Linked DNA regions of Alligator mississippiensis. The protein of the gene in region 1 binds, or shares a complex with, the protein of each later gene. Links are inferred from orthologs where the notes say so. Each region holds a gene or a part of one and is shown in the gene's direction. Other genes may lie near its edges. The genes, in order: HRAS, RASGRP4, SOS1 and GRB14.

Region 1 (7,903 bases):
CTGTACACTTCAGTACCCTGCCTGCTCGGTAGGAATGGATAAGACAAGATAAGACAGGCACTGCAGAGAGGCGGCGTGCTGTGCATGCATGTGCCTGTGAGAAACCCGGTACCTTTGCATTGCTGATGTTTTCAGCTCGCTTGGCAGAGTTGATATTTCTCTCTGAGTCGCAGCCCTCATTTTGTGGCAAGCTCATTGCTTTTCAACTGCTGTCCTGACTCTAAAACATCTAACAAACATTTCTGAAGATAGGTTACATTTGAGCCTATTTAATGATGACACTGTCCTTTTAGGGCTGGCCTTTAAAGGCCAATCTTGAAAGTCCTCTGGAAGGTTTCTTGGTGCCTAGAGAGAGAGAGAGTCTGTACATGTGTGTGTATGTGCACCCATGCACATGCACGCATGCAAGAGAGCTGTGCTGCTAAAACTGCATGATTTTGTAAAATTACAACCAAAGAACAGGTTGTGCAATACTTTCAGTGCTCAGACTATCAGCTATTTGTGGCAGGAACTCTCTTTTTATGACACCCAGAAGTAGCAACCTAGTTCATTGAAGCCTGATCCCTATTCATGACTGGTAAGCACTCTTGCAACACAAAGAATAAACAAATCTTCAAAATAATGCTTGAAAGACCTACCAGGTTGATCTGAGCAGCACTTCTCCAGGATTGGTGGCATATATGTTACATTGAGCCATGTTTCATTACTCAGTGTGTACAGACTGTGTGAGCCTTTTCCGTACAGCAACATTATCTTCAGAAGCTTGTAGTAGGTTCCTTAGCATGCCAGGCGTACAGAGGCAGCTGTTAGAGGTATTCTCCAGGGCAGATCTCACAACTGATTGATAGAAACAAGTCACTATAGGGCAGCAATGAACATTCCTCTACCCATACCAGGGCTGAAAGGAGAACTGCTTGCAAGTGACTGAAAATCCTTGTCACCAGAGAAAAGTGAATGGAGTAGAGGTTTAAACCCTTTGAGACAACTGCAGGCAAATCACAGGTTGAAAACTGGCCTCCCCCAGTGGAAGTGGCACCAAAACCTGCTTCAGAAGATGTAGACTCGGGGTGTATCTGTGCTGCTACCTAGAGCCACTCCCAGATCTGCCTTCTAGCCCAAACCAGCTGACCATTCACATTAGAAACCCTCCTTGAATTTGCCCAAAGTCTAGTTTTCCTCTAGCCTGCTCTTCCCCTGCAGTGTAGCGTGTTCATTATTCACCCAGCATCTGGTGGCACTTTTCTACTCTCTTTGTTTCCACTGCCCATAATTTAAACTGGGTACAGGAAGAAACAGGTAGTGGCCTGACTTGATTCCAAGAAGGGCTTGAGCCTCTCTAGGAACCAGTCTGCCTGCTAATGATCTCTGTGTGTGTGTGTTTGTGCAGCTGTACCAAAGTAACATCAACAGAAAGGGCTGCCTAATGTCACTTGAGGTAGGTAATGGTGACCTGTAGTGCTGACCCTAAGTAACAGTGCACAAGTAGACAGGCTCTGGTTCTGCTTCTGACTTGTGGGATGTATGGGAAGTGGGGATACCAGTATTTTCATAGTTCACAGGGCCACTCCAAGGATTAAGTAGCATACATTATCACAGCATTGTTGTGGCACAGGCCGATTAAATGTGCTTTGGAAGGGCAAGCATGACTGAACAGCAGCTGCCACACACAATGCAGCAGGCATGAAGGGGTTAATTAGAGCTCTTTCCTCCCTGTTTGATTCAAAACATGTTATACTCTTGGAGTTGGGGGTAAGGAGGGATTTATATTTCAAGGTGTCTGTAACACAGGCATAAGACAGGGAGGGAGCTTGTGCTGAAGGCAACTCATCTGTTTCTCCCTGCTTTCCCCTGGATGGGAATGCTGGGAGCAAGCCTCAGCACACAAGCTTGCCTCACCCTGCTGTAAGGGAAAGGTCTCCTCCAGTTCAGTGGGTTTTTCTGAGTGGGACACAATAGCTCATCCCAAAGAGGGGCAGGAGGAAGAGACACAGAGAGAGGAAGGATGGACACACACACACATGCACACACAGGGTACATGGGGGGAAGAGTTGGCCAGAGGGGAGCCCTGCCTTGTAGGAATGCCAAAAGCAGAGAGAAGGAGGTGCCTGGAGGAAGACCATAGGTGGATTAATGCATGGGCCAGCTGGGCCCAGGCCCAGGGCTCCCTGCCAGACAAGGACCCCTAGATGCCTGGGGGTGGGGGGAGAGAGGCGGCAGCTTGGCATGGACAAAACCATTGGCTGGGCTGGGCCGGGCGTGCAACACAGCGGGCCAAGGCTGCCAGGTACTGGGTGGGGTGTGGGGCACGACCGTGCAGGAGACCTGGGAGTGGCTGGAGCTGCCCGTGGCAGGGAGTGCAGCTGAGTGCAGTGCGTGGCTGGGACCTGCCAGTGGCGGGGCAGCCCCAGTCCAGCCAGGTCCTGGCTTGGCCAGCTGCAATCCTGGGTGTTTGCTGGATGCTGCTCCAGCTAGACTGAGCTATGGCAGGTCGAGTGGCCACCCCCAGAGTTCAGTCCGCACTGCATGTGCCCAGGAGGCAGTGGCTCTGTACTCCCAGTGCTGCCTAGTGGCGGGGCAATGTTGTCATATGCGGGGTCTCATGCAACTGACCCCAGGCTCCAGCTCCAGCGTGGACCTGCAGGCAGGGGTGGCCGTGGCTCTGCAGCGCATCTCACTCTGGGTGCTGCTCGAGGATGGAGCCCGTGGCTGCAGGGCGGGGTGCAGGTCAGGGGGAGAGGAGCCTAGGCCGTGGGGTGGGTCCAGGCCCCAATGGCTCTCATTTTGCCTCTGAGAAGACTGCTGGTCCAGGGGAGGAAACACGTGCCCAAGGAAAGGGAAGCAGGACTTCAGCGACTAGAGCCCAGTGCACACACGTGTACCAAGCCCAACAAATGTGTACATGCAGATGCACACACACATCAACCCCAAGACATGCACACACACCAGGCCCAACATGCGCATGCGTGCACCAAGCCCAACACCCACACACACCCCTACTCCAACACAAGTGTGTACACAAACACAATTACCCCAAAACAAACACACACATGCACCAACACACACACATGCACCGATTCCAACATGCACTCACCAAACCCAACACATGCATACACATCCCAACCCCCCATGCACATTCCCCCAGACACACAGGTATGCGCACACACACACAAATGCACCAATTCCAACACACACAGGTGCATGCACAGATACATACACTCCCCCAAACACATGCAAGTACACACACACACACGGACACATGCATACACCAATTCCAACAAATGCAGGCGCGCGCGCACACACACACACACACACACATGTACCGTACCCCCACACACACCAACCCCACCCAACACAAGCAGGGATGCACACATATACATGTACACACACCAACCTCAAGATACGCAGGTACATGCACATACACAAGCACCAACCCTAGAACATGCAGGTGTGCACACACACATATATGTATCCCCACACACATCAACCCCAACACAAGCAGGTGCATGCACACATACATTAATACATACACAGACACCGCACACGCATGTGAAACAACCCCAACACACGCAGGTACACACAGATGCACCACCCCCACACCAACCTGAATACATGCAGGCAGACACATACCAGCACACACGTGTGCACCAACTCCAACACACACAGGCACCAACATAACACCACCCCCAATACACACAGAGGCACTGACATACACACTAACCTTAACACATGCAAGTACACACACCCTCACACATACAAGCACCAACCCCAACACAAGCAGGTGCACACATACGCACCCCCACCCCTCCCAATCCCAGTACACATAGGTACACACATATGCATCTACCCCACAGAAACCCCAATACACACAGGTAGACACACATACAAAGACACACACAAACACAGGTACACACATATGAACCCACATACACCTCAACCCCAATACATGCAGGTAGACACACACTGGCACACACTTGTGCACCAGCCCCAACACACACAGGCACACATACACACCAACCCCAACACATGCAGGTGCACCCCCCCCACACGCACACCAACCCCAATACATGCAGGTAGACACACACAAGCACCAACCCCAACACAAGCAGGTGCACACATACGTACCCCCACATCCTCCAACCCCAGTACATGCAGATACACATACACATACATGCATCCACACACACCCCAACCCAATACATGCAGGTAGACACACACACCAGCAGAAACATGTGCACCAACCCCAACATACACAGGCACCCACATACACACCAACCCCAACACATGCAGGTACACACACACACAAGCACCAACCCCAACACAAGCAGGTGCACACATACGCACCCCCACACCCCCCAACCCCAATACACACAGGTACGCACATACGCAGATACACACATATGCACCCACACACACATCAACCCCAAAACATGCAGGTAGACATGTGCACGCACACTGACACATACAAGCACCAGCCTCAACACAAGCAGGTGCACATATAGGCACCCCACACCTCCCAATGCATGCAGGTCCACATCTATGCACCCCCTCACACACCAACCCCAATACATGCAGATGGACACACACCAGCATACACGTGTGCACCAACGCACACAGGTGTACAAACCTCAATACATGCACCCGCACACAAGCACCACCCCCAACACAAGCAGGTGCACAATTCGCGCCCCCAACCCCAGTACACACACGCGTAGACACGCGCGCGCACACCCAGGACCGGGCGGGCAGGCGCAGGGGGCGGCGCTGAGCGCGGGCTGGCGATGCAGCACGAGGGCGCCGGGGCGGGGCCGGGGCGGCGGGAGTGTGTGTGCGCGCTGCCGCCGGGTGTGTGTTGTCACTGTTGTGTGCCTGCCCGCGCACCCGCACACACACACACACACACGCGCGCGCGCGCGCGCTGTGCCAGCGGCGGCAGCGGCAGGGCAGCCCGGCGCGGGAGCCAATGCGGGGCGGGCGCTGTAGGCAGGCGGCCCCTCCGCCCCCGAGGTGGGCAGCGCCGCCCTGCCCCGGGGCCGCGGGCCGCTGACCCCAGCGCTGCGCTGAGCTGCGCTGCGGGCGCCGCCCCGCCTGGGCCGGGCCGGGCCGGCCGGGGGATCGCTGCAGCCGCCGCCGCCGCCGCCTCCCGTCAACTTCGGCCGCGTCTCCCTCCTCTCCGGCCCGCGCCCGCCCGCCGGAGTCGGTGAGTCGGGGGTCGGCGTCCGCAGCCCCGGGCGGCGCCTGGCTCAGCCTCGCCCCCACCCCCTGTGCCGGGGGAGCCCGGGGCTGGGGGCAGGTCGTGCGTGGGAAGCGCTGGGAGAGCCCCCTGGCTGGAAGGGCTGGGGGTGGGGGTGCCCCTGCCACCTGTTGTGAGTGCATGTGGGGTGTGTGGTGAGCATGTGGGTGAAGGGTGTGCATGTGTGGGGGTGAGTGCGTGTGTGCATGGGTGTGGGGTGAGCAGGTGCGCGTGTGGGGTGTGTGAGAGGTGAGCCGGTGTGCGTGTGTGGGGTGTGTGTACATGTGTGTGCATTGGGGCAGGGAAGCTGCAGCCCCCCCAGTCTAAGAGCATACTGCAAATTAGTTCCCCCCCCCCCCCCGGTTTTTTCCAGACCCTCCTGTTGAGTGAAACCAGGCCCCCTGCAGACTGATCGCTTGGGGGGGGGGGGTATGTGTCTCATCCCTCCAGATGACCCCCATGGAGACTTTCCGTGGAGGTGCACGTGGGAGGAGTGCACTGTGTGGCATGCCTGGACCTGTGTGTGTGCTGAGGTCATTTGGCGGTGGCATGGATCCTGGCTGGCTTGTGTCCCAGCTGCCCCATCCCAGCCTCTTGCAGCTGCGGAGGGAGCCCCAGGTCTCTGCACACCTTGTGCAGCAGTGATAGGATCTCCGGCAGATGCTGATGACTTCTGCTCTTTCCTGCCTAAAATCTGGCAGACTTTGGAGAGGGGAGAGGGAAGGAGGGGTGGAGAATCACCTGCTTGCCTGCCCCCTCGGTCTTAACAATGACTCTGCTTTCTGTAAACACTTCCTGCCAGTCCAGGGAACATGGGGAAAGGAATGGGAGGGGCACTGCATCCTCCAGGAGCAAACCACAGCCTGCAGTGACCCTTCCCTTGTCTGTTCCCCACCCCTTCCCCTTGTCCAGCCTCTCCTCTGGCTTTCATCCATGGGTTGAAATACCCACATGATACTGCAGCTTAGGGAGTGGTCCATGGTGATAGCCAAGCAGGCATCTCTCTTTGCTGAGCCTGGGCTGCCACAGCTCCGTCAGGGTGTGCCATGGAACGAGCGCTGTCATGATTGATAATAAACTTCTCCAGAGCGGTTTTGTTTGCAGCCCAGACGATTCCACTGCGCTTTGCAGGAGGGCTTGAAACAGAGACAGGTGTGGCTGTGTGGGTTTGTGTCTCTTTGTTTTTGTTTTTTTGTTTTAAGCAGGCGGCACTACCAGTTCGTGTTTTGGGGTCTCTAAGAACCTCCCTGCTTCCTGGGTGTGTCTGGCTTTCTAGTCTCTAGCATTATGTCATGCCTGCCCCCTGGTTGGGGAGAGGCAGATGCAGCTCCCTTTAGAGCTATTCCCAGCACAGAGGCACTTGGGAATGATGCCAGGGGAGTTCTTCATCCCCCCTTAGACCCCAGAGTGAGGCATGCTCTTTGTAGGGCCCACTGCTCCTAATAGCCCTGGATAGAAATGCGTTTTTCTCCCCTGCTAGCGGTCTGTGAGGGGGATGGGTACGGCGTGCATAAAAAATAAGCCAAATGGAAGACTTGCGGGAGGATTAGCAAGCACTCTGCGGGTAATGAAATGCTCTGTATAGCTAAAAGTATACATCACAGGGAGACATACTGGGGAGATGGTTAAGATTTTTAAAGTAGCCTAAGTGGATTAGACACCCGGCTCTTTTCAGTCTGGTTGGTTTGCTGGGTTACCCTAGTTAAGCTAAGTTACAGATTTATTTGCTCCTGAGTAGGCTCAGTTTACAGGGGTTTAAGCCAGGCTCATATTGGCTCAGCTTGTGCTGGTGAATCTTACAAGTGTAGGCATAACTGACATAACCAAAACACATCAATGCAGTGCCTGCACTGATTTCACTAAATAGCTGTCAGAGGAATAGTAGGCACCTTTGAAAAGCCCAACCTATAGATCCAAAATTAACAATGGAATTTCATACTTGAGAGAGATGCTAGTCAGCTTCAAGAATTGGGATAAGGTTACCCTGAGGGTTTAGTTGGTGGTGTTGCATTGCTTTAATCCCCTTGTGTAAATGCATTACAGCTCTATAAACAATATGGACATTGGTGCAACCAGACTGTGAGACTGGCAGTTTCAGGCTAGTCCATGGTATTAATGAATAGCCAGTGTGATGCCTATTTATTCCCCTTCAGTGGTCAGGCCGTGTACCTTGGGTAACTCCCTGGCTGCTATTACCATAGCACCTCACAGTCTTTAATATACTTATCCTCACAACGCTCCTATTCTCCTTACTTTACAAGAGTGTGTGTGAGCGTGTGTGTGTGGCTCAGACGTAGGGTGTGTCTGCAGTGCAGAGATACCTAAGCTAGCTCTGGTACTAGAAGCAGCAAAGCCAGCTGATTACCCCAAACAGAGCTCTGTACCTAACCCTGCTGAAAAAGGGGCTCTCTGCAAATACAGATTTACTGGTTTTGGTGACAGAGACAGCTAGGTCAGATAGCTCAACATTACACTGCACTCTAATGAGTGCAGAAAGGCTACATGGCTTGCCCAGGGGCATGTAACAGGGCTGTAGAAGGGCAAGGACTTGAATCCAGGTCCTACAGGTCCTAAGCTAGTGCTCTGTGCATTGGACCATCCTTCCTGTTCCTAGAAGGTATCCCCTGTGTCATTACTATTAGACAAACTTCAGTACTGCAGCACCGGTGCCAC
Region 2 (7,599 bases), on another chromosome or scaffold:
AGCAGGCTGCAGCATCACACCCAGCCCTGGCTGCTCAGGGCTACCAAGCACCCAGCCAAGGGCCTAGGGCAGGACAGGAGGGCACTAGGCCTGACCCCCTCCCCACACAGCCCCCACCCAAGGGCAGGTGCTAGAAGCCCCCCACTCTCCCCCAACCCAATAGCTCCTCCATGAAGGACCTGCAAGAACCCCCACCCTCCTTGGCCAGGATCATGCCCCTCTCCCCAGGGGAGGGGGTACAGATCCAAGACTGCAGGGGTGGAGCTGGGGCACAGGCAAGGAAGGAGTTAAAAGCAACTTTTGGGGTGGAAACCCCAGAGTTTATTAGCACCACTGGACACATCAAGCTAAAACTCAAGGGAGCTGGATCCCCCCCACCGCCGGTCACACCGGGAACATACATGACCCCTGCATCGTCACAGGCACAGCCCCCCGCATGCCTGTCCAGCTGGGGGGGGCCCAGGGCTTGCGACCCCGGCGCCAGGCCAGGAGGCGCCCACAGGCCCGGAGGACCCCCCGCACACAGCGGGGCCTGGCCCCGGCCCCCTGGGGCCGCTCATGGCTGCAGGAGCGCCGGCCGCGCCAGGAGCTGCACAGGCAGCCACTGGGGCACGGGCCCACCTCGGGCACCTGGGATGGGGAGGGGAGAGGGGGGGCCACGGGGCACCTCGAGTCCTCTGGCCAGCTCAGGGAGCGCCGCAGCCGCCGGTGCAGGAGGGCGGCCCGGTCTTCAGGTGGGAGGTCTCCGCTCGGCCCTGCAATAGACACCCCCCGTCAGCCAGGCCGGGCACGCAGCTGTGCTCCGCTCTGGGTTGGGACATGGGGTGGTGTCGTACCACAGGGGGGGCACAGGGCTTCGGCCACCATCCTCTTCATCTGGCTCCAGCTGCTGGGCTCTGGGACCCAGGTGTCCCAAGGAGCAATGGGCGCAGGCTGCAGCAAGGAAAGTTGAGGTTGGATATTAGGAAGACTATTATCACTGGCAGGGAGCTGGGGGGTGGAAATAGGGTCAGGGCCAGCTCTGGGGCTGGTGCTGCCCCTTTAAAGCTACACCCAGACACCTGGGTTCCACCCACCCACCCTGCCCCATCACATGTCATAGGCCCCATCACAACAGCCAGGGGGAGTCTCCTCATTCACCTGATACATCCCGTTGGGGGCCTCCTGCCTGGGACCCCAGGCCAGACTCCTCGGTTCTGGCGCTGGCTCTGGGGAGGAAGCAAGGTCCGGCTTAGTCTGAGGGGGTCCATCCTCAAATGGGAACCACCCCCTCCTGGCCCATACCTGCCCCCAGGGGCTCTTCGAAGGGGTCTCCAGCCTCGTCAGCTGCCGGCCACCTGCAAGGGGGAGAAGCTGATGGGTTTTGCAACCGCCCAGCCCCCTCCCACACCCCAGAGGGTACCTACCACTTCCCACAGCCGGGGGGTGCCCCCCATGCCTTCCTCTTGGGGGGCAGCGCCGGGGCAGGGCCACCTGGGGGGACAGCAGGGCCATGTTTCAGGTGCACCCCAAAAAGCACCCCCCCAGCCAGGAGCAGCCCAGCACCCCATGCAAGAGGCATAGGAGAGGGCTGGGGGGGCTCCCCAGATGCCGGGGCTCTCCCCCCAGCTCAGGATGGAAGCGGGGGGTTGTTCCCAGCTCCAGGAGGGCAGTGGGGTTCAATAGTGAGTGGGGGGGGCTCTGGTTCAACACTCCCCTCACCGTCGCAGCGAGGCCTTGGGGTCGTCTCCGCCACCGATGCATCGCCGAGCTCTGGGGCCAGGAGTTCGTCCAGGAGGGCCTGGGGGGCGCAGCCTGGAGGAGACGGGGGTGTCAGAGCCTGAACCCCCCCCCCCACCAGCCCCATGTCCCACCCCAGAGGCAGCTGCATCACTGCCCCCCACTGCACCCACCGATGCTGGGGGCCTCCTGGATGAGGGTCTGCACCGCGGCTGCCTGCAGCTGCAGCCGGAGCCCCCAGCTCGGCCCCGGGAACAGGGTGGGGGCGAAAATCACTGCCAGGTTGGCGGCATCCATCTTGTTCTCATCACACCTGGGGGGGCAGAGGAGAGCTGAGCCCCCCCATCCCCGGGCTGCGGTGGGGAGCGTGGGGCACCGCAGGACACGGGGCAGGGGGCTGCAGCGGGGAGCGAGGGGCCCCCACGCACCTGGCAGCCACGCGGCGCAGGAAGCAGCAGAGGTAGCGCAGGGCGCAGGCGTGGGCGGGGGGCAGGAGGCCGGTGAGCAGCAGGGTGAGGGGGGCACGGTCGGGGTCCGGCTCTCGCTGGGCCTGGCACAGGGGCTCCTGCAGCGCCGGCGGCACCAGGGGCTCCGGCAGCTCCCGCAGGAACCGCTTCAGCAGCGCGGCCACGTCGCAGGGTGCCGCCAGCCCCAGGCAGGGCTCGCCCCCCGCCACCCGGGCCTGCGGGCAAGAACCCAGGTGTCCGGTCCCTGCACCAGCACCCCAACTCCCCCCCGCCCCCCGAGACCCCAGGGGTCCGGGCTCCCCCACCCCCAGGAGGGGCCGAGGCCTCATCCCCAGGCCCACCTGCCCACGCCCCAGAGGCACCTGTACCTTTAAGGCCCTGATCCTGGCCACTGAGCCGGCGGTGCGGAAGAGCCCCGGGGTGCCCAGGTGCGGCTGCAGGGCCTCACAGGCCTCCACTAGGAACCTGTGGGGGGGCAGCCACCGGGGGGCGCTAGTGCAGCCCCCCCTTCACCCCCTCCCCCCGGGGTACGCCTGAGTCTGCAGGCAGCCTGCAACCATGCTCCCAGAGGGCGGAGCCACAGCAGGAGGAGGAGCTGCCAGAAGGGGGCAGGGCCAGACATCCCCCATCCCCAGGGGTCCATCCAGGAGCCCCCCCCACTCACCGAGGCAGATCCAGGGTGTCCGAGGCGGCACCGGGCTCCTGGGAGAGGAGGGCGGTGAGCAGGAAGGGGAACCCAGGGCTCCTCCTGCTGTAGCCACCAGGCCTCACTCCCCTCCTGGAGCCGTGGGACCCAGGCATCCTGCCCACCCCCTGCCCCCATGATAACCACTGAGCCCTGCTCCCTTCCTAGAGCTGGGACCCGGGCATCCACCCCTCACCCCCGCTCACCCAGCCGGACGTTGCAGCCGCTCTGGGCAGGGAAGAGATGGGGGGCTCAGGTTGGGGGAGCCCCGCCCCAGCCAAGTCCCCCAGGGCTGCCCCAGACTCAGCTGCAAGGTGCAACCCCCCTGCGACACGGTCCCAGGGAACCAGGGGTCCGGGAGACGCCCACGGCCACAAAACCCAGGTGTCCGGGGCACACCCAGGCACCCCACCACAGCCGCACAACTCAGGCATCCGACACACGTGTGCACACACACACCCAGAGAACCCAGACATCTAGGACACACCCCCTCCCCCCGCAAGCATCCGGGACTCATGCGTGCGTGCATGCACGTTCACACACGCACGCACCCCAGGCATCTGGGTCTCGCACGCAAACTCACACAGAGCATGTCCCAACAGCTGGGGTGGGGGCAGGAGGGGAACGCGCACACCCCCTGCTCTATTTATCTGCTCCAGGGCACTGGGGCAGGTGAGAGGATGCAGTTGCTAATTGACCCTGCTAATTGCCCTGCCCCAATTAGCTCCAACCCAAGGCAGTGTTTGCAGCCCCCACCTGAGGGTACTGTGTGTGTGTGGGGGGGAGGGCACACAGAACCCAGGTGTCCGGGGTACACACACACACACACACACACACACACACGTGCACTTCCCCCTGCAGAACAAGGGGTGTGTGCAAGAGCACATGCAATGCCTGGCACCTGGGACTGGACCCCTCAGCAGTGCCCGTCTTGTCCCCCCCACCGAGTGCTCAGCTGCACCCGGGGGTCCCCAGGACTTCAGCAACCCCCCACCCCCGTGCTGAGCAGAGCTGGGGGGGCGGGGGGGGGGAACCAGCCCAGGGGCCTTGGCCTGGAGCAGGCGCCCCCGCCTCCCCCACCCCCGTCCATCCCGCTGTCCTGCCCCTCGTCCCACCCGTCCAACCCCACCATCCCCCGTGCATCCCTCCCTCCCTGCACTGGGGCCTGGGCTTTGCTGGGGGGGACTGCAGGGGTCCCGTGTCCCACCCCCGGCAGCCCCGCAGGGTCTCAGGCCGTGTGGCCTGCGAGGCTCCCCATTCCCATCGCACCTGCTGGAGAAGGGTCCCACTGGCAGCATCCCGGGGTGCAGCCCCTGCAGCCTAGTGGTTAGAGCTGGGGGGTAGCATCCATAGCCCAAGCTGGTGCCAAGCCACAACAGGCCTTATGGCAGGAGGAGGCCATCGGGAAGCCCCAGGGATCCACCCCAGCACCCCCTCTACCTACCCCCCCACCCCGCCAGGCCCTCCCCGCCCCCCGCGCAGCCTCCTGCAGCACCCGTCTCCGGGAGACGCTCTCCGCAGACCACAGCATTTCTTGCCTCTTCCTTCCTTCCTCCCCCCCACTGCATGCACGGCCTCTGCCCAGCCCGGCCGGAGCGAGCCCTGGCCCAGGGAGGGGGCTGGAGCGTGGGGGGGGGGCATCCAACAGGGGGCGCCGTGCCCAGGGGGCAGCTCCAGCCGGGTGCCAGGGCTCCGGCCGGGGGGCGGCCAGACCCGTGGTGGGAGCCCGGGTGCTCCCGGGGCCGGGCACCCCCGCGGCCCCCGCCCCGGCGCGGCCCTGACATCACAGTTCCTCCTTGCTGGGCCCCGGCGCCGCCCGTTGCGTGGGGCCGCCGTGCCACAGCTGGGCCCGGGGCCGGGGGGGCCCGCCGGGGGTGCTAGAGACCCCCCCCAGCCCCGCACCATGAACAGGAAGGAGAGCAAAAGGTGAGTGGGGGGGGGACTCTCCCTCCCAGAGACGATGCCGCAGCCGATGCGACCAGCTCTGGGGAGGAGCGGGCACGGCGTGCTAGAACGGCGGGGCGGGCGCAGGGAGGGGGATCTGAACCTCCCCCTGAGCTCCCAAACACCTGCGTCCTGCCCCGGACACCTGGCTTCCCTCCTGCCTCTGGACGGGGGTAGGGTGGTCTCGTGGGGGGCAGGGTCGGGGTCCCAGACACTGGGATCGTTCTCCGGAGGCTGTAGGGTGCCGGACGTCTGGGTCCCATCCCCGGAGGCAGTGGGGCCTGGGGGGTGCCGGACGCCTGGGGTATCTCCCCAGGGCCTGGGGGGGCAGAGCCGTGTCGGGGCCGGGGTCCTGGACGCCTGGGGGCAGTGGGGGATAGGACGGGGGCAGGGCCGGGGTCCCGGACGCCTGGGTCCCATCCCTGCAGGCTGGGAGGCCCGGTGGCCGAAGCAGTTGGGCAACGGGGCCGGGGAAGGGGAAGTGGCCTCCACGGGCTGCCGGGCCGTGTTGCAACGGGCTGCCGGGAAGAGGCCTGGGGGGAGCCCAGATGCTCTGCAGCTCAGGAAGGGGTGTGAGGGCTGCGGGGGGTCCTGGGGGGCTGCAGGGCTGGAAGCAAGCGGTGACCCCCGCCCCCCACACGTGGCTCCTCCAGGAAGCCCTCGGTAGAATGCGCCGGCCTCGTGTCCAGCCCCGGCCCCGGGAGGGTCCGGCAGCGCCCGTGCCGGCGCCGCATGACCTGCCCGACGCCGCGGGAGATCCACACGGCCGTGGCCAGCCTGGCCCTGGGCGAGCTCGGCCCCGCCTGCAGCCTCGCCCAGCTGCTGGACAAGTGTCTCGACGCCTTCGGTACTGGACGCCCACCCCGCCCCCTGCCCCTGCCCCGGTCAGCTACAGCAGCGCCACCCCGACACCCCGCTAACAGTCCCTGGGGGGCCGCGAGGGAGGAGGGGGAGCCTCTTAACCCTTTCCTGCCCTGCCCTGCCCAGACCTGGACGGGACGCTGTGCCACAACGAGTACCTGGTGAACATGACGCTCACGGTGCACGACTGGGTGGTGCCCTCGGCCGACCTCGCCCGCTGCCTCCTGGCCTTATATCCTTGGAGCCGCCCCGGAGCCCCTCACTCCCGCCCTGCAGCCCCCTGCCCCCCCAGCGCCCCTCACTCCTGCCCTGCAGCCCCTACCTCGGTGGGGGGGGGGTCTGGGAGAGGGGTCTAGGCTGTGATGGAGCCTTGACTCGGATGCACCTACCGGGAGACATCGGGGGAGCGTCAGGAACAGCGGCGCTTGCAAATCTGCCACCTGCTGCGGTGAGCCCCCCCCAGTGCCCCCCTTACCCGCCCCGGGACCCCCCCAGGGTGCTCATGGCCCCCCTGCCCCAGGTACTGGATGGCGCAGCAGCCCGAGGCCTTCTGCCTGGAGCCGCAGCTGGAGCAGGCGGTGGAGGAGCTGCGCCAGGCCGCGGTGCAGGAGGGGCGCCGGGGCCATGCCCAGCTGCTGGACGAGGCCCCCAGGTGAGCCCCCCCCCCAGGCCCTGGGGCCCAAGGCGGGTGCAATGGGTGTGCCAAGGTGTGTGCATGAGGCTGAGCATGCATGGGGGGTGTGCATGAGGGCAGCCGGGCCCGCGCGTGACCCCTGACCCCCGCAGGCCGACGGCGGGAGGGGGCCGCGGGCCGGGGGCCCGGGGCAGCCCGGCGCCCGGGCCCAAACGGAAGGTGTCGCTGCTCTTCGACCACCTGGACGCGGCGGAGCTGGCCGAGCACCTTGCGTACCTCGACTTCCGCGCCTTCGCCCGCATCTCAGTGAGACCCCCAGCCGGGGACCCCCCAAGACATGGCCCCGCCCCTGGGACCCCCAGGGCATAGCCCCACCCCCCTGGGATTCCCCGGGATAGAGCTCCTCCCCCTGGGATTCCCCTCCACCCCCTGGGACCCCCTCCAGGACTTAGCCCTGCCCCTGGGATTCCCCCCCAGACATGGCTCCTCCCCATGGGATTCCCCAGGACAGAGGGGACTGGTAGGGATTGCATGGGGGTGTACGTGCCCCCCCCCGACCCCAACACTGATGCTGTCGGCAGGGCTGGTGCCCCCCTAACAGGGCCACTGCCATCAGCAGCTATTGCAGGTGCCCCCCCCCCCCCCCCGATTCAGGAGGCACCAGTCACTCATGCCCCAGGGTTTAGGGCCCCCCAGGACCTTCCCGAGGACATAGCTCTGCCCCCTGGGATCCCATTAGACATATCCCCATCTCCTGGGATTCCCTAGGACCCCCTACCCCCACCCCCCCAGGCCATGGGGCAGCTCTGACCCCCCGTGCCCCCCCAGCCCCGGGACTGCCGGTGCTACGTGCTGCAGGGGTCGGTGCGGGGGGCCCCGGCGCTGGAGCGTGCGGTCGCCCTGTGCAACAGCGTGTCGCAGTGGGTGCAGGTGATGGTGCTGAGCCGGCCCACGGCCCCCCAGCGTGCGCGCGTGCTCGCCCAGTTCATCCATGTTGCACAGGTACCTGGGGGGGGGCACAGTTGGAAGCAGGCGTGCGTACACAGGGGGTGGTTTTCACACACATGAGTACAGGAAGGGGGGGCCTAGGAAGCGCACATGCGTGGGTGGCCACAGAGATGCGTGTGTGTAAGGGTGTGTTTGTACAGAAGAATGTGCATGTACATGGGTGTGTAAGGGTGTGGTTGCATGCACATGGACACGTGCCCTGGACACCCTGCACATGTGAGTAACGCAGAGGTGCATGCGCATGTATATGGGTGTGTAAGGGTATGTTTGCACATGCATGA
Region 3 (7,311 bases), on another chromosome or scaffold:
TCAATTGGTTAGAGTGTGGTGCTAAAAATGCCAAGGTCACAGTTTTGGTCTCTGTATAGGACACAAGACTTGTCCTGACTCAGGCAGGAAGTTGACCTAGATGACCTCTTGAGGTCCTTCCAGCCCTACTTCTCTATGATATCTATGATAAGGTGCCTCAAACACCCTTTCATTAGGGGTTTGAAAGAACTAGCTGGCTCAGAGAGATACCTCTTAAGGCAGCCTGCCTCTCCTGAAAGCCTCTTCAGCAGGACTCACTAATGCAGCCTTTCCCTCCTTTCTCCATATACTGTTTCCTGCTGGTTTCTGGAGGAAGCTATTTTGCTCAAGCTGATTCTGACTCAGGCCAATTAACTTATTGCATCCTAGCACTCCTCCTGAACTTAGCATTTGTGTCGTCTTAGCATCTGTAGATCAGTACCTCTGCCAGGTGTTATACCCCATTTCAGGATTGCAAGTCCTGATATTTCATAGCCAGTGGTGACATTTATGGGCTGGAGCAGATAAAAATATCTGCAAAAACTACAGTCAGATATTGAAGGCGAGTTTACAAGGTTTGAAATGGACCCTTTTAAATTTTTTTAAGTAGGGATTGGAATTGAAAATGTTGTCGAAGTCCTGATTTAAATGTTACATTTGCCACCAACTGGGTGTTGGATCAGTGAAAAACAAATAATGGCTTTCATAACATTTTTGGTAAAAATATTAAAATTTAAGATTGAAAACACTGCAAAAATTTAGCAAATTAAAAAGTCAACGTTATTATTATGTATTTTTGGGAGGGAGCCGGGTGAAGAAGCTGAAAGTCATGTTTTGACTAAACATGTTCTTGCTTGAAACCAGGTGGCCCACTGAAAACTACTTGCCACTGCCAGTGCTTGGTGACGGACATGTTTCCTGGCAGCCTGTATATGGTAATGGCAACTGGTATCAGTCAGAGATGAATGAAGCTGTGCTGTCCTTTTGAGGCAGGTTCTAGGTCCAGCACTACCTGGATGCTGCTTTTAGTCTACAAATAAGTGTTTACTTATTTGTAAGGGACTACAAATAAGTAGGGCAAGGGAACAGTAGGACTTGTAGCCGGGATGATGGGGGTCAGGGAGGCCCCAGTGATTTTGAGGGATTATCAAAGGAGGTGCTTTACAGTAGAACCCAGACACTTCACAGGATCACATCCCTAACCTCACTGCATAGAGGATGGTTCAGAGCTAGAGCAAAAAGTTTCATGGGCCTGCTGATGTGCTCCAGCTGTGTAGAGAAGTGGTGCCCCTTGAGTAAAAGCAGCAGCAATCAGCTGAATGGCGTATCCTTTATTGGACAACCCACTGCTGTGTAAGCAAGTTGTAAACCGCCTGGATATGAATGGTCCAGGTTCTACTGTATTACCACTGGAAAAAGAAGGGGGCCAACAAAGAGCCCTGAGAGGTGTTTGCCACAGAGAGAATGGCTTTGAGAAAATATTTACCTCTATTTGGATTTCTGCTCACTGGGATTTTCATCTGGACTTGGGCTTTTGCTGCTGTTAAAATATTAGGAGCTTTGAGTCATAACATGCTACAAAATAATAATTGGTGGGTTTTTCCTCTTTGCCTGTTGGGGTCACTTGCATCATATTCTTAGCTTTCCTCAGGCATCTTGAGGTTTAGAAACTTGCAAGAATGAAAAATGAGATTCCTCATCATTCAATTCCCACAGGTGGAGCTTTAAGAAAAATGACCAAGTGTTGTGAGACACATGGGGCATGTCTACACATGGCTGTACAGAAATGTTGTTACGTTTCCATGCTTTAGTACTTCCTTTTGGAAGTACTAAAGCATGGTGCAGTAACTGCCTGCACTGCGCCATGTGTGCAACTCACACATTTTGCTGCTACATCCACATAATGGCAATCTAAAACAGGGGAGTGCACCGCTACAGCAATGTAGCTACCAATCACATGTAGACCCACATGATTGCTACCTTGTGGTAGCGTGCTGTATGGTGACATTTTTGCCCATGGTGCAATTTTAAGGTTTGGTAACAGCATGTCAGCTTCTCAACTGGTGACAATTCCTGGTGGGCAATGATGCTTGACAACTCTTGTCCACTGAAGACAGCAGGTAGTAGGTGGTCAACTTGTGCATCCTTGTTACTTGCTTGCACGTAGTGACAGATAAAGGACATTTTCACCCACTGCCTGCCATTTGAGGAGGGACATTTTGTGCCCAAAAGCCTATCTAATCTCTCTCCCAACTCTAGAGATGGTTTAAGAATAGACATCACCATACAAATCTTCCTTCTGCCATTCAATAAGCCTACAAGAAAATGGTGAATACTTGGTGAAACATTGTGGTGTGGAGGCCTTTGACACTTGTGTACAGCATGGTAGCAGAAAACTTAGCCTGGTTGAAGCGGCAATAACGTTGCCCACCCACTCCCACATTACAGGCATCAACTCAGAAACAAAGTGGTGCCCTAAGTGGCTCTTCTTGAGCATGCTGAAAATCTAGGTCTTGAGCATGGCACTGGGGTATCTGAGGTTGTCCTCAGCAACTCCATGCTAGGGTAATGCAGATGGAGTGGGTGGGTGAGACCAATCATTCTCCTGCTGCAGGGTAGATGTGCCCCAGGAGAAGGTGGAAGGCTGTCAGTTACCTGTGAGGCACTGCCATGGCTGGTGATGGTGGGTGGAAGCATGTCACAGTCAGGCACTGATAATTTGGGAGCCACTGGTGGGTGGTGACAGGAACTGTTTCCTAGCAACAGGTACCAGGGGAAGGCTGGTGGCTAGGGCCAGTGACATGAATCTCACTATTACCACCAGTCCTCAACATCTTTGCCCTCACAGTGGGAAATGGGGAAAGGCTGTTACCCCATTGTGCACATCAGACTGGGCGATTTTTCACCAGTGGACCTCCATGCCCTTCAAGGCAGCGTAGCAGCACCATGCCCATGGGACAGATAGGTAAAGGGAGAGACAGGATAGATGAGGCTCAGGACAGTGAACCTGCTGGCTCAAGATCACCCACTGTCCTCAGCCCTAGTTTGGCCTGACATCCCAGGAGAAGAGTGGGCCCACCCTGTGTGCTTGCTGGCCAGCTGCTTCAGGAGGGCTAGCCCCCTGTCTGGGGACATGGCCTGTGCTGAGGTGGACTCCCAGGCTCCCTGCCCTGGGCTGCTGCCCCTGCAGCTGGGAGCTGCTGTGCGTGGGCTTAGTGCTGGGCCCGTGAGAATGAGTGCTGTCAGCATTGCCAGGTCTTAACCATGAAATTATAGTATTGGAAGCTCAAAATTATTGTATTTGCTGAAAAACTACTGAAGACTGAAAAGATAACTGTGCAAATAAATCTTTTTCTTATTTACTTTACATTGCTCGCTAGAAACCAGCAGTGAGTGAGAGAGAACTGGGTCATCCAAGTGGAAGCATTTCTTTATTTTGAGGCAAACCATCATAAGAAAGCACTGACAGCAAACCAAAGTCAGCTGACTCCCTGAAAGTGATGTGGTTTTTGCATAAGCTGCATCAATGAGCTGTCTCAAAAACTTTTCTACACTTTGAACATGTTTAGCATTGGTGCTTTCAGGGGTGTAGGTTGTAGCCCTGTTGGTCTAAGGCAGGGGCAGGCAATTTGGGCAGAGGGGTGCTTACTGAGTTTTGGCAAGTCATTGAGGGCCGCATGACAGGCAGATAAATATTAATTTTTAAAAACATTTTAGGGGACCTGCAGGCGGGACAGAATGGGCTGGCAGGCCATATTTTGCCCACCCGTGGTCTAAGGGCATAGGTAGACAAGGTTCATTATTGCTTAGGCATTATTAATCAATCAATGTATTACTACCATCAATCAATTAAATATCATTAATCTTATTAATCAATGTATTCATATTGTTAACCAATTAATATTAATCGTATTATTACTGTCAGTCAAATTATTAATATTATTAATCAAATCATTCATTAATAATTAATTAATAATTAGTCATTATTGGTCAGGCATCGAACGAAGGCGGAAGCTATGGTACAAGCGCGGTAGCCAATACACTGCGCGCTGTGCAGGGCGGGGAGGGCAGGCCTCGCGCCAGCGCCCGCCACGGCTGTCCCTGTGGGCTCCTCCCTGCCGCAGGGGGCGCTGCGGAGCCCCCTCCGCCGATCGCCCAGCGAGGCGTTCGGCGCTCGGCTGAGCTGGCCTGGCCACTCGCTTCCCTTTGACGTCCGCATCTGACCTGGCGGCTGTTGGGCGCACAGGCACGGCGCATGCGCCCTGGGGGAGGGAGGGGGTTCAGTGTCGCCCTGCCGCGCATGCGCCCTGCGGAGTAACCGTCCGGGCACGGGAAGAGCCCCCGGAGCTGCAGCCGTGCTCGGGTCCCGGCACAAGCCCCGCCCCCCGCGCCGGTCCCGCGCCCCGCGCTGCGCCCCCGGGCCGGGCCCGGCCATGCCAGCGCGGCCGGCGGGGTAGGGCGGCGGGTGCTGAGGCCAGGCCGGGGCCGCGGGGGGATGCCGCCGCCGCCGCCCGGCGCCCAGAGCGGCCGCCGCCGGGAGCCGCTGGCCCCGCGCTGAGCCCGCCCCGCCCCCCCGGCCCGGCGGCAGGATGCAGGTGCCGCCGCTGTTCCACGAGCTGTGCAGCGAGGACAGCGCGCCCAAGTGGCGGGGGCTGCTCGTGCCCGCGCTCAAGAAGGTGAGCGGCGACCGGGGTCTTCGGGCCGCACTCCCCATGGCGGGGCGGGCTCCACAGGTGCGGGGCAGGGCCCCGTGTGTGTGTGTGTGTGTGCGCGGGGCGTGTTGTGTGTGGCGCACAAGCACAGAGAGACACGTGCACAGACACCCGCCCCCCGCCCACCCCAGCGTCTCGGAGGAGCTGCCAGGGACCCGTGGCAGAGCCCCAGGCTTGCACACAGCGTGGTTTGCGAAACACTGGTGGCTAAGGTACAAGCCTGTCCTGCAGAAGCTTCTGCTTCAGTGAGAGGTGCCTGCCCACAAACTCTGGTTTCATTTGGCCTCTTTTTAGAGCGGCGGTTCCCAGCCCCGGGTTGCGACCCAAATTAGTGTCGCGGGGGCAATGCCGGCAGCGCTGCACACAAAACATGAGCCGCGCCGCATGTCAGGAGCTCCCCCAGGCTGCTAACGCCGCAGTCTGCTCCCAGCAGCGGGTTGCAGATAAAAAAGGTTGGGCACCACTGTTTTAGAGCTTTGTTTTGCGAAGAAACCTGAATCGAGGGCAGGAGAGTAAGTCTCACTTGCTCCTGATACTGGCATTGGTGTGGGGGAAATGGGTCAGGGCTGCTCACTTCTGACTTCTGCCTGTAGCAAATAAGAACGAGGCTTTCCAGAAACTGTTTTCTGAAGTGGTTTTATATCCAACACTTAATCAACACCTTGCACTCAACATGTAGCAGCCATTGATGCTGGTATACTGATTGTACCAGTGGATGCAAACTTCCTTAATGTGGCTGAACTGGGGGCACTCCACAGCATGGACTGGGTATCCCAAGTATTTCAACTGCATTGATTCAGCTCACCTTCCCAATTTTCTCTTGCAATGCATTGTTTCATGTTTCACAGCATGTTCATCCAAGGACTCTGTGCGTTTGTATCAAGGAGCAGGTCTTTCCTGACCCCAGCACTTGCTGGTACAGTAAGTGATCATTACCTGTTTCTGAGAAAAAAATAACTTTTGGGTTAACTACCCAAATCCCTGAGGCTTTCAATGCCTTGGGATGCTCAAGCATCAAGGTAACTGAAGCCTGCTTGTGAGTTGCAGGCCAGTTGCAGCTTGCGGATTTGGCTCACTGTTCTGTGCTGTGCTCAGGGTTTGCTGTGCTGGGAACTCAACACAGGGCTAAGTAGTCTGGGAATAGAACAGGTTTTGATTAGAGGTGCACCAGTATATCGGTCCATGTTGTATCAGCACCAACAAAAGGAAAATTGACATTAATGGCAATCGACTTTCTTTGTGTGATGTGGTCAATAATGTCTCCGATAAATGGCGCATGCATGGGCACAGCAGTAGCATGCACACGGCCAGCCTGACAGCTTGGAGAGTAGTGTCTGGCTGGTAAGTCTGTTGGGGGGTGGGGAAGAGGTATGCGGGGGAGCTTATCAAGGCCCCCACAGCGAGGGAGGGTGTGGGGCTGGGGCAGGGGCAGCATGCACCCCAGGGAAAGGCACGGGGGGCACGTGCCCCACAGATGTGTGTGTGGGGCGAGGGCGGGCTGCCTGCTGCGGTCTGGGGTTGAGCCAGGCTCTTCCCAGCGGTGGGGTTGGGCTGGAGTTGCACTTGGGGTGGGGGGTGGTGCTGAAATGGGGGGGCTACAGGGTGGACTGCAGGCCACCCCAAAATTTGCTGCAGCCCCTCCTCCCAGGGCTGCCACCACCATTTGTCCCAAGCGCAGCCCCAACCCAGCACCCCTGCTAGGAAGAGCCTGGAGCTTCCTCCAGCCCACAGCAGCAGCCCACTATCACCACGCGCACAGATCCAGGGGGCACACACTCCCATGCCTCCTTCGGGCACGTGTGCTGTGGCATGAGCAGCCCGGCCCCTGCCACACCCGCCCCTGCCATACCCTCCAGATGAGCCGCGCACAGCTCTGTCCTGTGCCTTGTCCTGGCTGGACAGCCCCTGCCCAGCCCCATTCCCACTCCCTCCCCCACTGCAGGGGTCCTCAATATGTCCCCCATACCCCTTCCCACCAACAGACTTACTAGTCATATGCTGCTGTCCAAGCTGCTGGGTTGCATATCGGCAGTCGCATCCGTATCAGCTGATGTGGCTCGTTAATAATTAGCCATTGGTATTGACCCAAAAAATCTTTATCGGAGCACCCCTAGTTTTGATAGTATGAACCAGAATAAAACTGCTCTTTGAAATTGCATACATCAATTGCAGAATCTGTGAAGTTGTTAATTTCTGTCCTGGTGGGCAAGTCACTTAAGGCATCTTTATACCTGCTCTGGGGGTTGGTGTGGAGGGAGAGGGCTTTAATTGAAGCACCCACCGTGTCTCATGTATTCAGCGCAGGTGCTTCAAAATGGTGGTGGGGGTGGTGCTTTAAGTAAAGCTTGTTTGATGAGCTTTAGTTAAAGTACCGCCGCCACTATTTTGAAGTGCAGGGGTGCCGAATACATGAGATGCCGAGGCTGCTGGAGCGTGGTAATTAGCATGCTCCAGCAGACTCCATTAATCGAGTTTGCTCTGACGTGCTGTAATTGCAGCGTGTCAGAGCAGGCGTCCTGCACATCTACAAGCACCCTTAGTGAGCTGACTCGGAATGTCACTGCTCGCTGAAGAACTTGATGAAAATGGGCATGTTCAGGACCAAGAGAAGAGTAACTTG
Region 4 (7,178 bases), on another chromosome or scaffold:
TTTTTCTGCTGTGAATCAATTGCATTCCAAAGAGGTTTGGAATGCTAAGAAATACTGTATTTAACATATTTTCAATGAATTAATTATTTGCTGGAAGCTGTTTTAATAAAATCTAGACAAATAATGTAAATGGCCTAACTAATGAAACTACCATACAGAAAACCATATCTAAGAAAGGGAAAAAGGATGACCCAGGGAACTACAGACGAGTCAGCCTCACCTCAGTCCCTGGAAAAATCATGGAGCAGATCCTCAAGGAATCCATTTCAAAGCACTTGAAGGCAAAAATGGTGATTGGAAACAGTCAACATGGATTCACCAAGGGTAAGTCATGCCTGACCAACCTGATTGCCTTCTATGACAAGGTGACTGGCTCTGTGGATGCAGGGAGACCTGTGGATGTGGTATACCTTGATTTTAACAAGCCTTTTGGTATGTTCTCCCACAGCATTCTTGGGGGCAAGCTAAGGAAATATGGGCTGGATATATGGACTGTGAGGTGGATAGAAAACTGGCTGGAGCATTGGGCTCAGAGAGTAGGAATCAATGGCTTGATGTCTAGCTGGGAGCCAGTATCAAGGGGAGTGCTGCAGGGGTTGGTCCTGGAGCCAGTTTTGTTCAATGTCTTCATCAATGACCTGGAAGACGGCATAAAGTGCACCCTCAGCAAGTCTGCAGATGACACCAAGCTGGGGGGATTAGTAGATACGCTGGAGGGTAGGTTTTAGAGTGACCGAGACAAATCGGAGGATTGGGCCAAAAGAAATGTCATGAGGTTCGACAAGAACAAGTGCAGAGTCCTGCACTTAGGATGGAACAATCCCATGCACTGGTATAGGCTGGCGGCTGGGCAGCAGCTCTGCAGAAAAGGACCTGGGGGTTACAGTGGACAATAAGCTGAATATGAGCCAGCAACATGTCCTAATTGCCAAGAAGGCTAACAGCATACTGGGCTGTATTGGTAGGAGTGTTGCCACTAGGTCAAGAAAAGTGATTATTCCCCTCTATTCAGCACTGGTGAGGCCACATCTGCAGTATTGTGTCCAGTGTTGGGCCCCCCACTATAGAAGGGATGTAGACAAATTGGAGAGAGTCCAGTGGAGGGTGACAAAAATGGTGAGGGGTCTGGGGGATATGACTTATGAGTAAAGACTTGGGGAACTGGACTTATTTAGTCTAGAGAAGAGGAGACTGAGATGAGACTTAATACCAGCCTTCAACTACTTGAAGAGGGGTTTGAAAGAGGACAGAGCTACGCTCTTCTCAGTGGTGGCAGATGACAAAAAAAGGAGCAATGGTCTTAAGTTGCAGCAAGGGAAGTTTAGGTAACTTTAGAAATAATTTTATCTCTAGGAGGGTAGTAAAACACTGGAATAGGTTACCCAGAGAGGTGGTGGAAGCTCTGTCCTTGGGGGTTTTCAAAACCCAGTTAGACAAAGCTTTGGCTGGAATGATCTAGTTGGGGATGGTCCTGCTTTGAGCAGGAGGTTGGACTAGATGACCTCCTGAGGTCACTTCTAACCCCGACTTTCTATGATTCTATAAAACCAGAGACATAATATTAATTTAGTAGCATAAAGTGCTCCATTAAAAAGTATACAGATCTTTTGAAAAATTAGAAGCTACCACCTTTTCACAGTTTGGCTTTGACATCAAACTGTGCTATTTCAAGATTCGTATCTGTTCTAGGTCCTAGTTTCCTCTTATATTAGTAATGGCCACTTCTCTGTTTTAATTAGGGTGAAGTTTATTGCAATGTACCTGTTTCAACAAATAGCAAGTTCCCTTTGTTTGTAAACAACCAGTACTTTTGCTATTGAACCAAACAGCAATTATAATCAGTCTTTAGACTGAAATTTTGAAAACATTTGCCAATCTCTGTGTATAAGAATTCTTAATCAGCTTGGATTCTTCAGCTGCCACAGTAACAGAGAAGGAACTATTGAGAGGACAAAGAATTCCTAGTTTCATTAAAAAGAAATGTTCTGCAAAATCATTTGTAAGTCAGCCAGAATAAAAACTTCTGGTGTTTCTCCTACTTAAGACTATTTCTTCATACTGATAACTGAAATGTTGGCCTCTGAAGCTAGTTCTGGAGCCTTAAAACAACATCTGTTCTGAAACAGGTTTCTTCAATAACAATTTAAAAAACCACTCACTTTCTAAAGTTTTTCAAATATTCTTAGAAGTGTACTACATTCCTCTGGCTTGGGCTTGGCCCTAATCATTTGACACAGTTATATTCAGAAGCAGTTTACCAGTTCAGTTCAATGCAGTTAACTGCAGTGAACAGAGAAAAGTTTCAGGGGGGTTACTATACACTAGGCTGAGTGCATATCAAGAACAGCTGGGTAATTACAGTTTTTTCACTTTGAATTTTGAGTGGAGTCACAATTAGGTTTGCTTTCAAAGTCCTAGAACATGGCCACAACTTAGTGAAAGGACTATTAGGTTTTATGCTCTCTTAGATGCAACTTGCTAGTGATGAACAATGGGATATGCAAGCAGGTGCTCAGCTGGTATTTGCAGTTCCCTCCTGCATTTCTCTGCATCCTCTACAAACCCAAGCTGGGGTTAGCATCTTGTTTTGCTTGAGGGGCTGCTGCCAGGGCTGTAGGTAAGAACCAACCTTGAAGAGTTTAAACAAACACAATGACCAAGATAGGCCAATAGCAATAGCTTTATTCTCCTTCAAGAAAAATCTGGGGTATGGAGTGGGGAAGTGCCTAAAGTCACAAGGAGAGTAGAAGTGACTGCTCCTCTGACCTAACACCTGAGCCCCATGGCCAGCTGCCCAGAGGGAGGCAGCTTATGGCTTCTGGGTCAGTAAACACCACTTGGTCAGAAAAGCAAAGAAAAAGTAAGTCAAAGAAGAAATGTCAGAGTGAAGAACTGGCAGGATAAACAGCTGTCAGAGGAAAGCTTGAAGCCTCCCCTGGAAAGAATCATTTCATGGGTGGATCTAGGATTTTGAAAAGTGGGGGGCAGGTGATGTGGCACATCGTCGCATAACACAACACATATCGTTCTCCAGTTACTCCACTTGGAGAGAAACAAGATACTTTACTAATATGCTAGGGGTCAAGTACTTTAGGTGCTGACACATGTGCAGCTCCTGCTCTAACTCATGGTGCTTCACAGCAGGTGTCATGACTTAGACCCCAACCCCCGCAACAGGCATTCACTGTTTGGTAGGGGGAGGTTGCGGGGAATCAAGCTCTACTTTGGAGGCCACTCAGCCAATCCACCCTCCCTTCCAGCTGGGGCTACGCAAACCCCAGCTCTGAGTGCATTCCCCTCCAGGATCCTTCCTCCTTTCTTCCAGAGAGCACCTGGTGGGGCAGGGCTAGATCAGAAAGTCACCTGCTCAGCTTTGGAGCACCTTCATCTGATCCCTTGTTATAAGGGTTAATTTGTGACGTGATGGGGCATGTGGACGTCTGTCATGGCAGGGCTGTAGAGCACTTTTAGGGGGCCAATGACTGGACAAATGTCACTTTTGTTAGCACCCTTAATGAATCTGTTTAAGACCAAAGCAAAAACAAATATCACTACTGGAGTGTGCATTCCTTTGCTAATTGTATATACAATTGAGCAAAAGCATGACAAACCATGCAAAATTAGTCAACAGGTAGTGTTGCTTGAACCCTGTAGTCATTGGAGGCAAATGCACGTCACTTTTTCAGATTCATAAAACAAAATCCAGCCTTCTTGAGAGACTTGGCAGTGCCTTCGCTGTCAAGCATTTCTACCCCTCGGCTCACGCTGCCGCACGGGAGGGAAGGTTTGCGGCTAGACCTGAACGCAGGGCGGGGAGACGGGAGAGAGCCGCTGCGAGGGGTGGCCACCACCCTGCAAACTTGCAGAAGAAAGGAGGGGTCGAAGAGCGGGACTCGAGCCCACGGAAAAGGAGAGAGAGGCTTAACACTGGTGGGGGAGAGAGATTAGCAGGAGGCGATAAGGAGCCGCCAAGCGAGCACAGCCTGTCAGCGCTGTCCCGGGAGCCGGAGGTGCTGGCTGCAGGAGCCCCGGGGCGCATCCCCCGCACCCGAGAGCAGAGCGGCCGCGCCGGGGCTCCGCGCTCCGCTCCGGCCGCTGCTCCCGCCGGGCGGCGCCGGCGCCGAGCGCAGCTCCGAGGCACGTGCTCCTGGGGCTGCTCGCGCCCGCGGCCGGCGCGGGGATGGCGGCTCCGCTGCCGGAGGGGCGGCGCGGCGCGGCCGGGGCTGCCCCGTGGACGGCGCCCGCCCGGACCCGCTCCCCGGCGGCGCCACGGCCAGACGGGTAAGGCTGGGGCCGGAGGGGCAGTGCCGGGGGCCGGCCCGGGCTCGGGGCTGGGCTGTCCCGTGCCGGGAAGGGCCACGTGCTGCAGAGCGCGCCCCCTTGGCTTCCCCTACCTGGAAGTCTGGAAAGGGCCGTGGGCCACAGGAGCCGGGCTGGGGGCGGCCGCCCCGCGACAGGCTGCCCGCCCTGCCCCCGAGCTGGCACTGCGCTGCCTCGTGGGTGTGAGGTGGTTGGGTGTGGAGCCCCCCCCTCCCGAAGGCGCTCGCTGCTGGCGGCAGAGCGTGGCCGGCCGCGCACAGATGTCACCCTCGTCCGAGGTAGTGTCAGGCGGGCTCCCTTGTGTGGGGTAGGGGGCGAAGGAGAGCCCTCCTGCCTCATGAGCCTGGTCTGGCCACCCCTGCTAGGGTCCTGTTAGCGGGGTGCTGCGAGGCCCATGTGGTGGAGGGCGGGGACTCTGTTTCCCCCCCTGCCACAGCTCTGGGCACAGCAGTTTCTGCTGCTATCAAGATGCTCACACAGGGGCTGGGAATGGAGCCCCCAACTACACGGGCCCAGCCGAGCAGGGGTTGCCAGGCTGGGACATGGTGGGGTGGCTCCCTCCTGCCCTGCTCCAGCTCCAGGCATAGCTGCCATGAAGCTGGCACTTTCCAAATACTCAGGGAGGGGGGGCAAGGCCCCCCTGCCTTGCTGGCTTGACCCAGCTCATCCCAGGACCCCAGCAAGGGTAGTTGAAGGAGGCCAACTCCCTCCACCCTCCCAGCCACTGCTGACCATTACTAGCTGGTGGTGGGGTGTGGGGTTGGGGAGAGGGGCAGTCCAGCAGCCTGGAGCACCTCTACCTGCAGGCTTGGACCAGTGCACCAACAGGCAAATGCTTGTTGGGTTCAATGGTACTCTAACAAATGGTGCATTTTGTAAAGCACCTTGGGTTAAAGCACTTCCCCGACATGCTTCCTGAGCTTTTTTACACACCCCTGAGGTGACATGAACTGGTGCTATCTCCCAAGGCTAGCTTCTTCATCCCAGGCTTGGAAGATAAGGGCTTGATTTGCCCAGGACAGTGAATATTAAAGCCATGGCTGTTATAACTGATTGCTCTCAGCCAGATTTGTACCGTGTCTCCAATGGAATTCAATTCAGTGGGGATTAAAAGTCTAGCTCACCTACTTAGCTTCTTATGAAGTTTCTGATAGTTTCACTAGGCTGAAATCTGGAACACCTTAGAATATTGTGAACACAGTATTTTTCCCTTCCTTCTAAAAACTACACTTGCTATCAAATGATTGCTCTCTAAATGCATTCAGAAACACAAGCAGTGGTCTTTTGCATCATTCAGTTTATTTTGATGGTCTGTAAGACTTGTATCGTACCAATCAGCAAGTGAAACCTAGAGTAATATTGGAAGTGAAGTTAAATATTAAGCTCAGAATATCAACTTGCACAAAGTGGGGGAGGGGGAGTGGAACTGGGTACTAGCAAAATCAAACCAGTATTTATGCTGTTTCAGTTTCTGTTGCCTGTGATGGAAGTTGTACATTAGATCCTCATTTTATTTTACATGTGAGAAAATATCTCAATGTTGCTTACAGCATTCTAAAAGCTTTGCATTTGGTTGCTTAAAAAGAGAGTTCTAAAACCATTCTAAGGCAAAAAATTTTGCAAAATGATATTGAAATTGATGAAGTTTGTAGATAGTGCTTGGCAATAATCATGGCAGCAAGAGAATTAGATTTAAGTAGCGCTTAGCATCTCCTATTAGTTGCTGTATTTAATAAGGCAGGAATGCAAAAGCATTGAGAGGCAGAAAGAAATGTCTTCCTGTGTGATATTCCAATCACTTTGGCCATTACCCTGCAAAATAACTTACCCACCAGCTTGGTTTACTGCAGCAAGTAGGCAAATTGAAACAGACTTGTAGTAATGGGTGTGTTTGTAAGACTGAAGTTCCACTGGTGTTCCTGAAAATACTTGCTAATTCCAGAAGCCAGTGCAAATAGATTCATACACTTATCCTGCAAAGATTTACATGCAAACGTAATTTTACACTCAAGAGGAAGTGCTGGGATTACTTCATGCTCAGTATTAAGCACATATGTAAAACCACATGCAGTCTGCTGGCAAGGAGCTAACAAATATAACTGATGACTGAGGCACTAAACATAATAATGTCGCTGTATTTAATAGATGGTGATTGCTTATTTCAGTTTTAATTCTGGTAGCAATTACATTGTGGTCCCTGCTCTACTTATTTATTGCTTTATGTTCTTTATTGATGTAGGAGAAAAAAGAGCCAACTTGATGTGCTGGAAATCCCATCAATTCCAAATCCATTTCCTGAGCTATGTTGTTCTCCATTTGCTTCAGTTTTGTCAGCCAGCCTGTTGCCCAAGGCAACTTCAAGAAAAAAACAGGTAAGATTTATTTTTGATAAGGCACTTGGATCTACAAACACTTCTATTTTTCTCAAGGTTTACATAAATTGTGTGTGCCTGGGAGAGGGATGGAGCTTCACATATACTTCTCTGGTGCTCTGGGGGGGGTCTACTGAGTGTGAGACAGACACAGAGAGACTAAATCTGGGTGCTCTTTAATGTCTGTAATACTGTTTCTGGATTAAAATCTGGAGATTGAGTGAGGAACTCTGTGAAAGTTGAAGTAATTTCCAGTAGCATTAACTTCTGTGGATGCTGTTGAGTCATTAAACCTCTCAGGGGCAGCATGAGTCTTACTGGAAAATGTTCTACGATTGTAAGTGAGGCCTGGAAAATGGCCTTTGCATTGAGGGTCTGGCTGTAAACTCCCATGTAGCTCTTTAAACTTGTTCCAGTAGAGAAGATGTCTCAACTCTAAAATCAATCAGGATGAAATTTTCACTCTCTTCTGTTTCCCCTCATATG

What was found.
Region 2: the proteins of HRAS (region 1) and RASGRP4 are in contact, whole or in part, in a crystal structure (PDB 6AXG), measured with the Homo sapiens proteins. The link is inferred for Alligator mississippiensis from reciprocal best matches to the Homo sapiens genes HRAS and RASGRP4. Residues at the interface, in NP_001123914.1 of Homo sapiens: Glu3, Gly12, Gly13, Gly15, Ser17, Ala18, Ile21, Asp33, Pro34, Thr35, Ile36, Glu37, Tyr40, Arg41, Asp54, Leu56, Asp57, Ala59, Gly60, Gln61, Glu63, Tyr64, Ser65, Ala66, Met67, Arg68, Asp69, Gln70, Arg73, Thr74; in NP_733749.1 of Homo sapiens: Tyr228, Gly232, Val234, Val244, Asn248, Ser251, Asn288, Met291, Ala292, Gly295, Gly296, Cys298, His299, Ser300, Leu327, Ala328, Ser329, His330, Asn331, Asn332, Tyr333, Ala334, Arg337, Leu351, Gly352, Val353, Leu355, Lys356, Val359, Ser360.
Region 3: the proteins of HRAS (region 1) and SOS1 are in contact, whole or in part, in a crystal structure (PDB 4NYM), measured with the Homo sapiens proteins. The link is inferred for Alligator mississippiensis from reciprocal best matches to the Homo sapiens genes HRAS and SOS1. Residues at the interface, in NP_001123914.1 of Homo sapiens: Gly13, Gly15, Ser17, Ala18, Thr20, Ile21, Gln25, Asp30, Glu31, Tyr32, Asp33, Pro34, Thr35, Glu37, Tyr40, Arg41, Asp54, Ile55, Leu56, Asp57, Thr58, Ala59, Gly60, Gln61, Glu63, Tyr64, Ser65, Ala66, Met67, Arg68; in NP_005624.2 of Homo sapiens: Glu589, Lys602, Trp809, Thr810, Lys814, Leu822, Met824, Ile825, Arg826, Thr828, Thr829, Thr832, Glu836, Asn869, Leu872, Val875, Ser876, Asn879, Ser880, Ser881, Tyr884, Ser908, Asp910, His911, Tyr912, Lys913, Leu916, Phe929, Phe930, Gly931.
Region 4: the proteins of HRAS (region 1) and GRB14 are in contact, whole or in part, in a crystal structure (PDB 4K81), measured with the Homo sapiens proteins. The link is inferred for Alligator mississippiensis from reciprocal best matches to the Homo sapiens genes HRAS and GRB14. Residues at the interface, in NP_001123914.1 of Homo sapiens: Glu31, Asp33, Pro34, Ile36, Glu37, Asp38, Ser39, Tyr40, Arg41, Tyr64, Met67; in NP_004481.2 of Homo sapiens: Val109, Lys111, Asp116, Glu117, Thr118, Ser119, Arg120, Ala121, Leu122, Asp123, Lys140, His142.

The regions. Positions count from the first base shown.
Region 1 is NC_081825.1:182,638,508-182,646,410, reverse strand, and holds the start of HRAS (GTPase HRas), read left to right. Parts: upstream 1-4,887; 5' UTR 4,888-5,197; intron 5,198-7,903. UniProt on the Homo sapiens protein: Involved in the activation of Ras protein signal transduction. Ras proteins bind GDP/GTP and possess intrinsic GTPase activity.
Region 2 is NC_081838.1:1,909,860-1,917,458, reverse strand, and holds the start of RASGRP4 (RAS guanyl-releasing protein 4), read left to right. Parts: upstream 1-4,590; 5' UTR 4,591-4,774; coding exon 4,775-4,797; intron 4,798-5,468; coding exon 5,469-5,662; intron 5,663-5,802; coding exon 5,803-5,908; intron 5,909-6,061; coding exon 6,062-6,124; intron 6,125-6,196; coding exon 6,197-6,328; intron 6,329-6,462; coding exon 6,463-6,616; intron 6,617-7,138; coding exon 7,139-7,312; intron 7,313-7,599. Other genes in the region: GEM-interacting protein, read right to left, coding at 385-755, 837-933, 1,141-1,208, 1,285-1,337, 1,407-1,473, 1,702-1,794, 1,893-2,032, 2,148-2,401 and 3 more.
Region 3 is NC_081824.1:236,140,085-236,147,395, forward strand, and holds the start of SOS1 (son of sevenless homolog 1), read left to right. Parts: upstream 1-4,305; 5' UTR 4,306-4,568; coding exon 4,569-4,655; intron 4,656-7,311.
Region 4 is NC_081827.1:217,685,987-217,693,164, forward strand, and holds the start of GRB14 (growth factor receptor-bound protein 14), read left to right. Parts: upstream 1-4,165; 5' UTR 4,166-4,180; coding exon 4,181-4,281; intron 4,282-6,559; coding exon 6,560-6,692; intron 6,693-7,178. UniProt on the Homo sapiens protein: Adapter protein which modulates coupling of cell surface receptor kinases with specific signaling pathways. Binds to, and suppresses signals from, the activated insulin receptor (INSR). Potent inhibitor of insulin-stimulated MAPK3 phosphorylation.